3 linked regions of the Sus scrofa genome follow. The protein of the gene in region 3 interacts with the protein of the main gene of each other region in a biochemical or structural test. Links are inferred from orthologs where the notes say so. Each region holds a gene or a part of one and is shown on either strand. Other genes may lie near its edges. The genes, in order: KMT2C, CHD8 and WDR5.

Region 1 (3,645 bases), on a different chromosome or scaffold from region 3:
AAGGTCTCGTGGGAGGTGAGGAGGGCGTGCATGGGCTCTTCAGTGGGTGTGATTCGGAAACTCAAAGAGGGAGCGCGGCAGGCCCGGGGCCAAGAGGAAAGTGTACGGGCTCAGACCCCAGAGCACGAGGCCCCCTCAGAGCACATCCTCCGTGTGGCCGAGAAGCCAGAGAGGGAGGAGCAGGGGAAAAAAACCCATGTGACAGAAGCAGCCCGAGGCTGAGAACTCCCCCTCCAACAGGAGCAACTCTCGGGGAGGTTCAGGGATGAGCACTGGGAAGCTGCGGGGCTACAAGAGCAGGTGAGGGCAGCAGGGGGCCACCCCACACGGGTGAGTGCGGAGATGGGGCAGCAGGGTGAGGGCAGGCCAGTCAGGCAGACACACAGGAACGGACGTGGCCCAGGAGAGAGGAAACGGCGAGGGGAGCGAGGGGAGCGGGAGCACTGCTGCAGGAGGAGGGGAGAGGAGCACCGGCCAAGCCGCCTGCCCGCCACGGTGAGAAGCGAGCAGCAGGTGGGGCGCAGGAGAGCAAGAGGGGCCCCGGCGTCGGGGATGGGCGCGCACCCCCGCGCCTCCGGGCTGACAGCTGGATAGAACGGAAAGCTCAGGCAGGCCCATGAGACACAACACCCAGAGCGTTAATCCACCAAGACTCCGCGCCAACACGTTCCCTGGACGTGTTCAAAATTAAGGTGAGATTTTAAAGAGAATAAGCTTAACTTTGGAATCAAGAATGAATCTGGGGTTACCGAAATGTAAACCAGCTCACCGTTGCTCGCTGGAGGAAAAGGCACATTAGGCTGCTTCAGGTGGTAAGAGCTGGCTAATCTGGGAGGGTTTGCAGGTCCTGGTGGAGGCCCACGAAGAAATAAGCGCTGTCGATACTCCAAACCTGGGTTTACTCTGTGGCTACTGACCACACCCACGGATGGACCATCTGGGGCATTACTAACCTCATAGCTGTTAGGAATTCGGACGTGGAGAAGGTCGGAAAACGCAGCCACAACACTGCTAATGTTCTAAAACAAAATTGCAAACGCGGTGTTACCCACCCAGACAGCGACCACGAACCACGGAAGGTCGCCTGCGGGACACACGCAGGCTGCAAATCCAGTGACGTTCTTCAGACTAAGAGGGGATTACGATGGGCCCGACCCAAACAAAGCCTCGGCGGACAGGAGTCCTCATCCCGGCAACCGTCGGTGCCAAGTATCCGAAGAGCAGTAAACTCTCGCAGACACTGAAGACACGGAACGAGCCAAACCGTGTCCCCGATGGTACAGCTGGTCGTCGCCTTCTCCAAGGGGCCTCTGCCCAGCTCTGGACAAACAGTCCAGGAGCCCACGCTACTGCTACGTTCTGCTGACAACGGCAACACCCCATCACTGGACTATGAGCTTGGCCACCACCATCTTCAAGAATTGAGTTAAAAAAAAAAAAAATCCCAGCCATGGGCTAGTGTTTGGCATGAGCTGCTGTTCAACATTCATCCCCCTTCTGGAAAACTTCCCTCGCTGACCAAGTTCTTTTTCACTGCTTTAATTTTCTCTGTGCAGACAGTTATCAAAGGGTTTCTCCTTCTCTAAAGAGTTCCCTGCCATACACACCCTTGAATAAAAAAGGCAACTCTCACTCTTTGCCCTTTGCCCTGATGTGGACCCATCTGTCTGATGCTTGGTCACAGCTGTGGCGGCAGCAGACGTCCGAAGTGACCCCCCGAGCCTACCCAAACTTGAATCTTTCATCCGCAACGACCCTGCTGTGCGTGCCACTGACACACCCTAAAAATGGGGACATATCCCATAACGTCAAAAAGCCATTTCCTCTTTACCTCAGCAGCTGTCGGATGCAGAGTAATTGCCACAGATATGAGACCCGATCTGGGACCATTTGGGGAGGAACCAAACGGTGATGTGAAAAATAAAGTGCCTGGTTCAGTTTTGATGTCATTCCTTCTAGATTCCAAACCTTAAAAGAAGAAGGATTAACTGCGTGTTAACCATGTTTCAAAACACGAACGGGCGCGGCCCGGCAGAGGCAGACAGCAACTGGGTGGTGAGGCCCGGCCCTACCTTTCCCGGGATGGCTGGGAAGGATCGGGATGATGGGGGATGGCACCGGCTCCGGAGGCTCCTCTTTGACCAGTGACAGATCCGGGTACCTGCTGACTTCCATCCCGACCACGCTCTCCGGAGAGGATGAAGGAACAAAGCTGTCAGGGGTGTCCCGACCACCACCGTGGTCCTGGATCCTAAGAGACAGGCAAACACAGTGCGCGTCAGCCGCGCACACCCAGCCCTGGGTGCTTCCCACACCAACCCGGCCCCCGCTATGTGCGTGACCTCTGCACAACAACAGCAGCCCAAGGAGCCAAGGATTGGGGCCAACCAGGAAATCTCTTGGGGAAAAAAAACAACAAATGTGTTTAACTATAAGGTAATCTCAATGGTAAGTTTCCTTCTGACTAAAGCTTTAGCATCCGAGTGTAAAGACCTGCCAAAGAAGGAAGATGATTGATGGGATCACTATGCGGCATGGAAAGGATGGATGCTCACACCTCGGCCAAGTTCCAGATCACTGAGCCTAGGGCACCCTCCTGCAGCTGGGAAAGAAAGAGCCGGCCCCCATCCGCAGTCCCACGCGCACAGAGCTCTCCGGGCTGCCGCTCACGGACAGCGGCAAGGCTATCCCTCGTGACCTCACAGGCCTTTGTTTTCAAAACGATGAAGTAAGGTGAAAAAAGAGGGGGTCCAGGCCCAGAAGCTAGAGGTTGCCAAGGCAGCTGGGCTAAATGTTGTAGCGCAGCCCAGGAACCTGGGTCCCGCGCTCCTCCCCGGAAGAGAGGCCGTCCTGCTGAAGGCTGCTGAGAGAAGCGGCAAGAGAGGCTTCCAGGGCGTCCCTGTAAAACCCAGCAGTGGGCACTCAACACGCACGCCCAGAGGCCACCTCCCGTCCCGCGGCTGCTCCTGAGTCACCCAGCTGGCACCAATCTAGCCGCCGGGTACAGGAGAGAGAGAGACCTGCTCCTCACTCCTCCTCCCCGCAGAGTTCTCTCATTAATACAGTACAGAGACTTCGTCCAAAGGACAGCGCATCAAAGGGGGGGGGCACCAGATTCTCTGAGGAAGAGAGTCACTTGATGAGGCCTGTAAGAGCCGCTCCTGGACCTGACCAGCCGGTGTGATTATCTACTAGGGGATGCTCTTCTCCCCATTCCGAATCTTGGGCTCCAGAACTGACACCAAGAGCATGGTGGTACCCGCCATCTCTTCCGCAAAAGCACTCACCGATCTCCCTGACTGCTGCCCTTTGAATCTGGCATCTGCAACCATCAGTAAACCCAGGAAACCAAAAGAACAGCTTATAAAGGACAATGATCTTTGGGGTTTTTTGCTTCTCATTTTTGGCCGAGCCTGAGGCAAGCACAAGTTCCCAGGCCAGGGATCCAAACAGAGCCACAGTAATGACAACGCAGGATTCCCTAACTGCTAGGCCACCAAGAACTCTCGACAATAATCTTTGAAATATTTTGCATGGAGAGTCCCACTGCCTTAATGTTCGATTACTATTCTGTTGAACTTCCTATATAAGATTTTTTAAACACACAAATAAATTATATTCAACAGCGTGTTTCATGAACTTTAA
Region 2 (3,645 bases), on a different chromosome or scaffold from region 3:
CACGGGCCCTAGCAATGGCCTCTGCTACAATCCGATTTGCTTTCTCTTGTTTCTTCTGGTGCTCCAGCCTACGGTTTTCTTCAATTCCCGTCTTGCCCCCAGTATGAGGGGTAGAGCTTGCTGGTGAGGACAGAGCTGCCACTTCACTGGCACTTAGAACTTTAACTACAGAGAGCCCAGAAGATGCCCCTTGGGAAGAGCCGGCCTATAGAAATAAAGACACTAAAATTTCAACATTCTTGTAGTGAAATGACCTGAATAAAAGAGCTCTGAAGCAGGCAGGCTAGAAATTTTAACTCTCTAATTACTCAAGAACCAAACTCTGACCAACTCCTACTGAACCTAGAGACACATTTAAAGAAAAAAAAAAAGAAGAAAACTGTTTTATGGTGGGAAGGGGATGAGAAAAGGCGAGAAATCTGTGTCAAATTAACCTTCGATATCCTTTAGCCATGCTTCTAATGTCAATACCCATCTCTATAATCCCCCCAAATTTCAAACAATATTGCCAACACTGGCCTCTAGGCTAAAAGGAAAAAAATTCAGATCTATTCTTGGCCTACCTGTATCTCCCTCGGGGCGAGAGGAATGATAATCATTTGACCCTTTAAGAGTCTTTATCTTTCAAGCAGGATGATATTTTGTCATTTTTATTCACGAGAACATTAGGAAAAGATTGTAAATGAAAAGTTCAACAAGTACTAGACAAATCATCTCTTATTCTAAACCCAAAAATAACCCTCAAATCTTTTCATGACATAATTAAAACAAAATTTCCATGGGTGAAAGAAATAAAAGTCTGCATCTCATTTCAGAGGTAGGAATCTAGACTGGCCCCACATTCAACAATGAGTGGTCACTGAGGGTAAGAGCAAGGGACTAAGAGACTTGTTTTCCTTCTTAACTCTGTAAGTCTCACCTGTGGCTGCAGCACCACCTTGAGTGGTACTGAAAGTCTTTGTCCTGGGCCCTGTCCTGGTCCCATTATCTGAGCCTGTTGCACAGAGGAGAGAGCCACTGGCTGGGTTGAGGGTGGCTGCTGGGGTTGTGGCTGTGATGATGGAGGCTGTGGTACAATCTGGATTTTCTGCTGCGGCTGCTGCACCTGCAGCTGGATAGTTACTACTTTGGCAGGCTGCCCCTGGGCATTCTTGGCTTGAGTCAGGGCTGCTAGCTGGTTGCCCTGTAACACTATCTTGCCTGGTAGACTCCCTAGCACGACATGCCGGTGTCCTTGGGGACCTCCAGACTGTGGCTGCTGGAGGACCAGCGTGATGCGTTTTGATTCACCCTAGAGCAAAGAAAGGAAATTGCAAGAGAGGTACAACATTAAGAATGGTAGACCTCTGAATATTTACACCAGTTTTCCTTATCCTAGAAATAAAAACTGGGGGTCAGAAGACACAATACAATTCGTTTATTCATCCTCCTATCTGTCCAGATAAAAATCTTTTCTGTAACAGCTCTGCCCAGTGGGTATCAAGCCTAGTCTTGAAAAACTGATGGGAGGCTCACTATCCTCTAAGGCAGTCATTCCATTTTTTGGAACTCTCTTAGAATAAAGTCTTTATAGTGAACTAAAATCTATCTTCTTACAGTTTCTCTCCACCAGCCCTACTTATCTGAATACTGCCCTCTTCTCTCCTCAAACTCTTCTGGCCAGAGCCTCAATTTTCTTACAATAGAAACTAGCCTTTTCCTGGGCAAAATCACAGAAGGATGATCTTAATAATAAGAACAGAGGAAAGATACATAGCTTCCATAAGTCTTGCAAATATAAATATATTTTTCAAAAACCATTTTGTTCCAATGGCATCCTTACATTTCTCATACAACTTTACATCATACTTTATTGTGAGTTCTCATTTAAGGTCTGTAATTTCCTGGCAGACTGTGAGCTCTGTAACGACAGGGACTGTGTCTATCTTGTTCAGTACCAGCTAGGCACAGTGTAAATGTAGTAAGAGCTCAAAAAATATGTTAACACTAACTACTTTCTTCTAGTAAGTAATAAACATGTGGCTGTCAATACTACTGATAAAAAGAATTTAAACACGATTTCCTAGAGACATCTCTCCTGTGTTTGCTCTCACAGTTGCTGGGCCCTCTACTAAACCAAAATTCACCGCCCCCTTTCACTCAAGTCACCTGGGTAGGTGTAGAGGTCAGTGTAACTGCAGGCTTCAGTGGGGGCCCTGTGGCCCCAGGGTTTCCAGCAGGAGCTGAACCCTTAACTGGCTGTAGAACCAGCTGCTTTACTGGTCGGCTGGGCTGGACAATGCGCTGAACAGTAGCCTGGTTCCCAGGGACCTTGGCAGCCAACACTGTATTACCAGAGACAATGGAAACACCAGGTCGAAGGGGAGTGCCGGTTAGCACTTTGGTAAAAGTGACTTTTCCACCATTGGCTGTGCCTGCCACGAGGGGCTGAGCTGTGCTGGTGATACCTTGGGCCTGAATTTGTGCCACATGGGCACCAGTGACTGAGGAGCTTGGTGGGGCCTTAAGAATAACAATCTTAGGGGCTGACTGAGATGGTTGCCCTCCAGCACTACTGGAGGAGACAGCTGTGGCAGAGACACCCATGAAAGGATTCCCTTGGCTCAAGATCTCCTGGCTCTTGGAGACCTGCAAAAGTCCTGATGTTGGCGTCGGTGTCTGTAAGACAGGTTGGGCTGGCTGCTCTTGGCTGACAGGCTGAGTGGTATAATCATGCAAGGTTAAAGATTCTGGAGCTGGAGCTGCTGATTCTTTGGGAAGTTCTGTGGGGGTTGTTTCCTCTGGTGGGGGGACCAAGTCACTTGCTGATGAATTCCCCACATCACCACCTCCACCATCCTGGTTCATCTGATCCAAGGAGTCCAGAGAGCTTGGCAGTCCAAGAGCTTCCTCAATAGGATCTTGCGTGACTTGATTGAAGCTGTCATCAGTCAGAGAGTCCAGGCCAAATAAATTTGGGTCATCAAACAGATCCATGATGGGGTCTGCCATCTTGGGAAAGTAATGGGGGTACTTCCCCAAGGTCTAGGGAGGGAAGGGGAGGGGGGGTACTGGCTCTCCCCTCCCCTCCCCTATTAAGAAAAAAATGTACACAATGGAAGAGGACTACTCTTCACATAAAGAGGCAAGAAACAAGTGCATGTCAGATTGTCCTGACCTTCATAGAGCAAGATGGCTAGGTCTTCAGAGGAAGATGGTGGAACTCCTGTTGTAGGAAGACAAATGACAAATAAGCAAAGTAGGTGATCTCAGGGAAAAGTTCTCCTTCTTAGGTACTACCCTTAATATAAAATAGCATCAACATAATGAGAGAAGATGGAAACGCAAGGTCATCTGAGGATGGAGACACAACAGAAAGAACATCCATATTTCTGCTTCAAAACTAAAATTAAAAAAGAAATTAACTCCCTTTGGGGGCTCTTACACCTACAAGCTTTGAAGCTTCTATCTGTCAAGATCACTCAGGTGTCTCTGTCCATTTCTTTTTTTTTTTTAGGGCTGAACTTGTGGCATATGGAAGTTCCCAGTCTAGGGGTCAAATTGGAGTTGCAGCGCCATCCAGGCCACAACCACGTGGGGTCTGAGCTGAGTCTGCAAACTACACCACAGCTCACAGCAACGCTGTATCCTTAACCCACTGAGCAA
Region 3 (3,745 bases):
GTCCAGCCCTCCACAGAAGCAGCCTAAAGTACGCAGATGCTATGCAAGCAAGACCCACTGCAGAGAAGGGGGAAAGAGGCAGCTCAATTAGGTTTCAGCATGAAAACGGGAACCACTCAAAAGCTGCACAGTACAACTGGCTTCCTCTGTCACAAGAATGGATTCTGCCACTGGGATACTTGGCACAGAAACACACCAGGTGATTCTGAAACAAGGGCAAGCATTATTCCAGAGCCGCCCAGACATCCCGCAAGTCCCACTGGCCAGCCACCTCCCGGAAGCTGGCACCACTGTTAACCTGCTGGGTTCACAAGCTGTACATTCTAGCTTGGCGCCTCAAACTGGAAGCTTGCACAGGTTTCTCGTCACACTGAGGCGGAGCAGGAGCCATCACCAAGAGCAAGTCCCAAACTCTCCCTCCAAGAAGATGGGAGAGAAAGGTCAACGCAACCCAGCTGTGCAGAGTGGCCAGAGCTGTGCGGAGGGGAAACAGCTGGTCACCTGAGCAAGGCTCCCTGCGCAGGGATGGAGCCTGCAGCACCCAAAGCTCAAGTACTGGGCTGGGGGAGGGCAAGGAAGGGGCAGGTCAGCAGATGTGTGGGGGCAAAGTGCTGGCACAGAGCTGGGGCTCAGGAAGCACTCGCCGCTTGTGACTGTCGTTAGTGCAAGCAGGCCGTGCCAATTAGCCCGGCACTGCCTGCCCTTTGCTGGGCTGGACAAGTGGGCCGAAGAGTCCTCTGCACAGAACTGAGCATCGGAGGCAATGAGACCAAGGCCAAGAGCTGCGAGAAGGCCCCCCCTCCCCCGAGCTAAACACGTGCAGGAACAGAAGAGGCTCTGTCTGGGGTGCGAAAGGGAGCACAGAGGCTTGAGACCCACCAGGAGGTGGGGCGAACTGGCTGCCTTCAGGTGAGGAGCGGGGGATCCAATAGGGGGACAGAAAAAGTGCCCCAGCCCTGCCCCACTCCTCAGCTAGCAACACCTTAACGTACAGAAATCAACCTTTAGAAATACGATTTCTGGACACCTTGTTTGGAGCCAGCCTCCCCAGCACCTGCGACTTGCTCCTTCTTGGCTCCCAGGTGAGTCTGACCACCTAAGGCTGAGCCTCCCAAACTTCAGAGTGCTCGCCTGGACTGCCTCGAAATGCAGATGCCTGGGCGCCACCCCAGAGACTGGGGCCAAGGTGTGGCGAGACAGGAGGTAACTGGCCCGCACAGAGTGAGGAGACTCGCTGCTCACCACCCCACCTGAAATCTCAGACATACCTGGGGTCCAGCTTACCCAGCTGCCTCTACCAACCGGGCCAACCTCAGGGGAGAGTGTCTAACTCAGTACTTGCCAGACGGGGGCTAAGGGACCTGAGCGGGTAGAAGCGGGACCAGAAGGCACCAGGAATGATCTTCCACATCCCCCAAAGTGGCCCTCGCGAGCCAGACTGGAAGGGGTCCGAGGCTCCACCGCAGGGCGTGGTGGGCCTTCCCTTCGTGACGGCAGCCCCGCAGCCCCGGAACCCCGAACTCTCAGGGAGCAATGGGGCCTGGGGCTGCCTCGGGCTGGGAGTACAGAGCGGGCTGAGGTGGGGGCGTCCCTGCAGCAGAGGAAGGCAGACAGCGCGCCACATCCAGGCACTGGATGGCTCTGGGGTCTGGGGTGCTTCTCTGGAGGCAAAGGGGTCATGCACGCCGGCTCCAGAAGGAAGTCGCAGTCCCGGGGCTGGGGGCTCGTCACCTGACCGCTGGGGGCGGGAGAAGCTGGGGGTCCCAGGGGCTCCGCGGCGGTCCGTGCGAGTCCGTTTGCGGAGGGGGCTGGGCGCTCGGCGGGGAAAAGGGCAGCCAAGCTCGCGCCCCGGAGGCGAAGCGGCGGGCGCGGGGCGTCTGCGCCGGGAGGCCCGGCGGGGCTGAACCCGGGCCGGGGCCGGGCCCGCCAGAACACGTGCCGCGACGGACGGCGCGGGGTGCGCCGGCGTCGACCCCCAGCCCGCGTCCCCCCGAAGCGTGTCCGCCGGCCGGGCGGCCCCAGCTTACCTGCCGGGCGGCGAGGGGCTGAGGACGGGCGCTCCGGGCGTCGCGTCTGCCGCCGCCTGGGCGGGAGCCGGGCCGAGCTCGACTAGGCGGCGCGGCGAGCGGCAATGCGCGTGCGCGGGGGCGGGGCGAGAGGGCGGGGCAAACGCACAAAGCCGGCCTCTCGGAGGGGAGCTACGGGGAGCGGCGAGGAGCAAAACGCCTCGGCTCGGCTCAACGCCTTAAAGGGACAGTGTGCTCCTGCTTAAAGGCGTTAACCCGGGAGGTGACAGGTTCCGGCGGTCCTTCTGCGGCGGCGCCCCAGGGAGGAGTGGAGTTCCGCCGCCGTGGAATTCAAGCGGCGGCGGGGCCCCAACCTTTCTTCTGACTTGGGGCATCTGCGGGGTCGCCGCCCTCCATCGTCGCGCACACTAGAGGGCGGCGCTCTGGGCAGAGCCCTGGGCTGAGCGTCTTCATCAATGTTTGGGACGTCCCGGTACAGAGGCCCTCACCTTCCAACTGTGAAGCGAGGAATCTGAGCTCCGAAGTGTTCAGAATGCCCTCTCCCGGGGCTGCGTCCTCTGCACTCTGCCCATCAACTCCCGCGCAGGGCCGGCGGAGGGGTCTGCCCGCCTCTCGCCTCTCGGTGCAGGGAGCCCACCGGGCGCACCTGCCCTCTCCTGAGCCCCCAACGCCGAGGTACGAATAGTCACCGCGTGCAGGCTGCTCTGCTGCCTGCAGGGTGATGGCCCAGACAGGTATTATAACTTCCATCTGCAAGTGGGGAGGGGAGGCCCAGAGAGGGACGGCTCAGGGGCACAAGGAGATCCTGGAGCCTGGGTTCTCACCCCAAATCCTGCACATTCTCATCTCACTGCCCCACTTCTGCTACCCACGTGGGTCTTAGAGTCGTGGAGGTGGTCGTGGGCTAGGCAGCCTCACGGCCCCAACCCAGGCCCGTGGGTAGAGTAACACAGTTTATTTCCCAATTAAAAATGGGAACACTTAGGAGTTCCCTGGTGGCCTAGCGGTTAGGGCCTCAGCGTTGTCACTGCTGTGGCGAGGGTTGGATCCCTGCCCTGAGAACTTTTGCATGCCATGGCTCGGCCAAATTAAAAAGGGGGGGGGGCGCCGAACATGACACAGGAACCTGTGCAAACAAGGACAGAGCATTTGAAGTGGAAAGCCTCAGGGAATACTAGTGTGGTTGTCACAGATACAGGAGACAAGGCTGGCAGCTGGCCCAAGATCCCTTCCAAGGAGAACGCAGGGGCCGCAAAATCCCTGTCTGGCCCTGCAGGACTGGGAGTGGATCTCTGTGCCCAGGAGGCCTCATCGCCTTGGGTCAGGTGTCCTGGAGCAGGAGACGGTGACCACCAAAGGTGACCAAGCCAGCTCAGGATGAAGAAGAGTATCTGCATCCACCTGCTGCCTGGCCCCAAGCACAGCCCGTTTCATCTCTGTTGATACACCCCATCACCGCTCCCATAGTTCTCACAGGCAGCCATCCTCTTCTCACCACGCCTACCCCAGTCCGGCCTCCCTGCGGGCCTTTTCCAAACCTCTCTGAAGCAGAAAGGACTTCGAAACCCCCAGCGCTGACCCGTCATTCCCCAAGTCGAGACGCAGAGCTGGCTCCCCATTGCCCTGAGTTCCAACTCCATCTCTGCCCCGGGGCATTTGCCAGACAGGCCGCCCACCCCCGCTGTAGCCTAGCACCACCCCCAAACGGTGCAACCAGC

What was found.
Region 1: the proteins of WDR5 (region 3) and KMT2C form a complex in vitro, tested with the Homo sapiens proteins (4 studies listed by BioGRID, with this or other methods). The link is inferred for Sus scrofa from reciprocal best matches to the Homo sapiens genes WDR5 and KMT2C.
Region 2: the proteins of WDR5 (region 3) and CHD8 form a complex in vitro, tested with the Homo sapiens proteins (2 studies listed by BioGRID). The link is inferred for Sus scrofa from reciprocal best matches to the Homo sapiens genes WDR5 and CHD8.

The regions. Positions count from the first base shown.
Region 1 is NC_010460.4:5,262,227-5,265,871, reverse strand, and holds part of KMT2C (histone-lysine N-methyltransferase 2C), read right to left. Parts: intron 2,252-3,645; coding exon 2,073-2,251; intron 1,969-2,072; coding exon 1,832-1,968; intron 1,020-1,831; coding exon 770-1,019; intron 1-769. UniProt on the Homo sapiens protein: Histone methyltransferase that catalyzes methyl group transfer from S-adenosyl-L-methionine to the epsilon-amino group of 'Lys-4' of histone H3 (H3K4).
Region 2 is NC_010449.5:77,739,922-77,743,566, reverse strand, and holds part of CHD8 (chromodomain-helicase-DNA-binding protein 8), read right to left. Parts: intron 3,206-3,645; 5' UTR 3,164-3,205; coding exon of another isoform or gene 3,158-3,163; 5' UTR 2,992-3,157; coding exon 2,149-2,991; intron 1,292-2,148; coding exon 920-1,291; intron 206-919; coding exon 1-205. UniProt on the Homo sapiens protein: ATP-dependent chromatin-remodeling factor, it slides nucleosomes along DNA; nucleosome sliding requires ATP. Acts as a transcription repressor by remodeling chromatin structure and recruiting histone H1 to target genes.
Region 3 is NC_010443.5:273,558,677-273,562,421, reverse strand, and holds the start of WDR5 (WD repeat-containing protein 5), read right to left. Parts: upstream 2,144-3,745; 5' UTR 2,028-2,143; intron 1-2,027.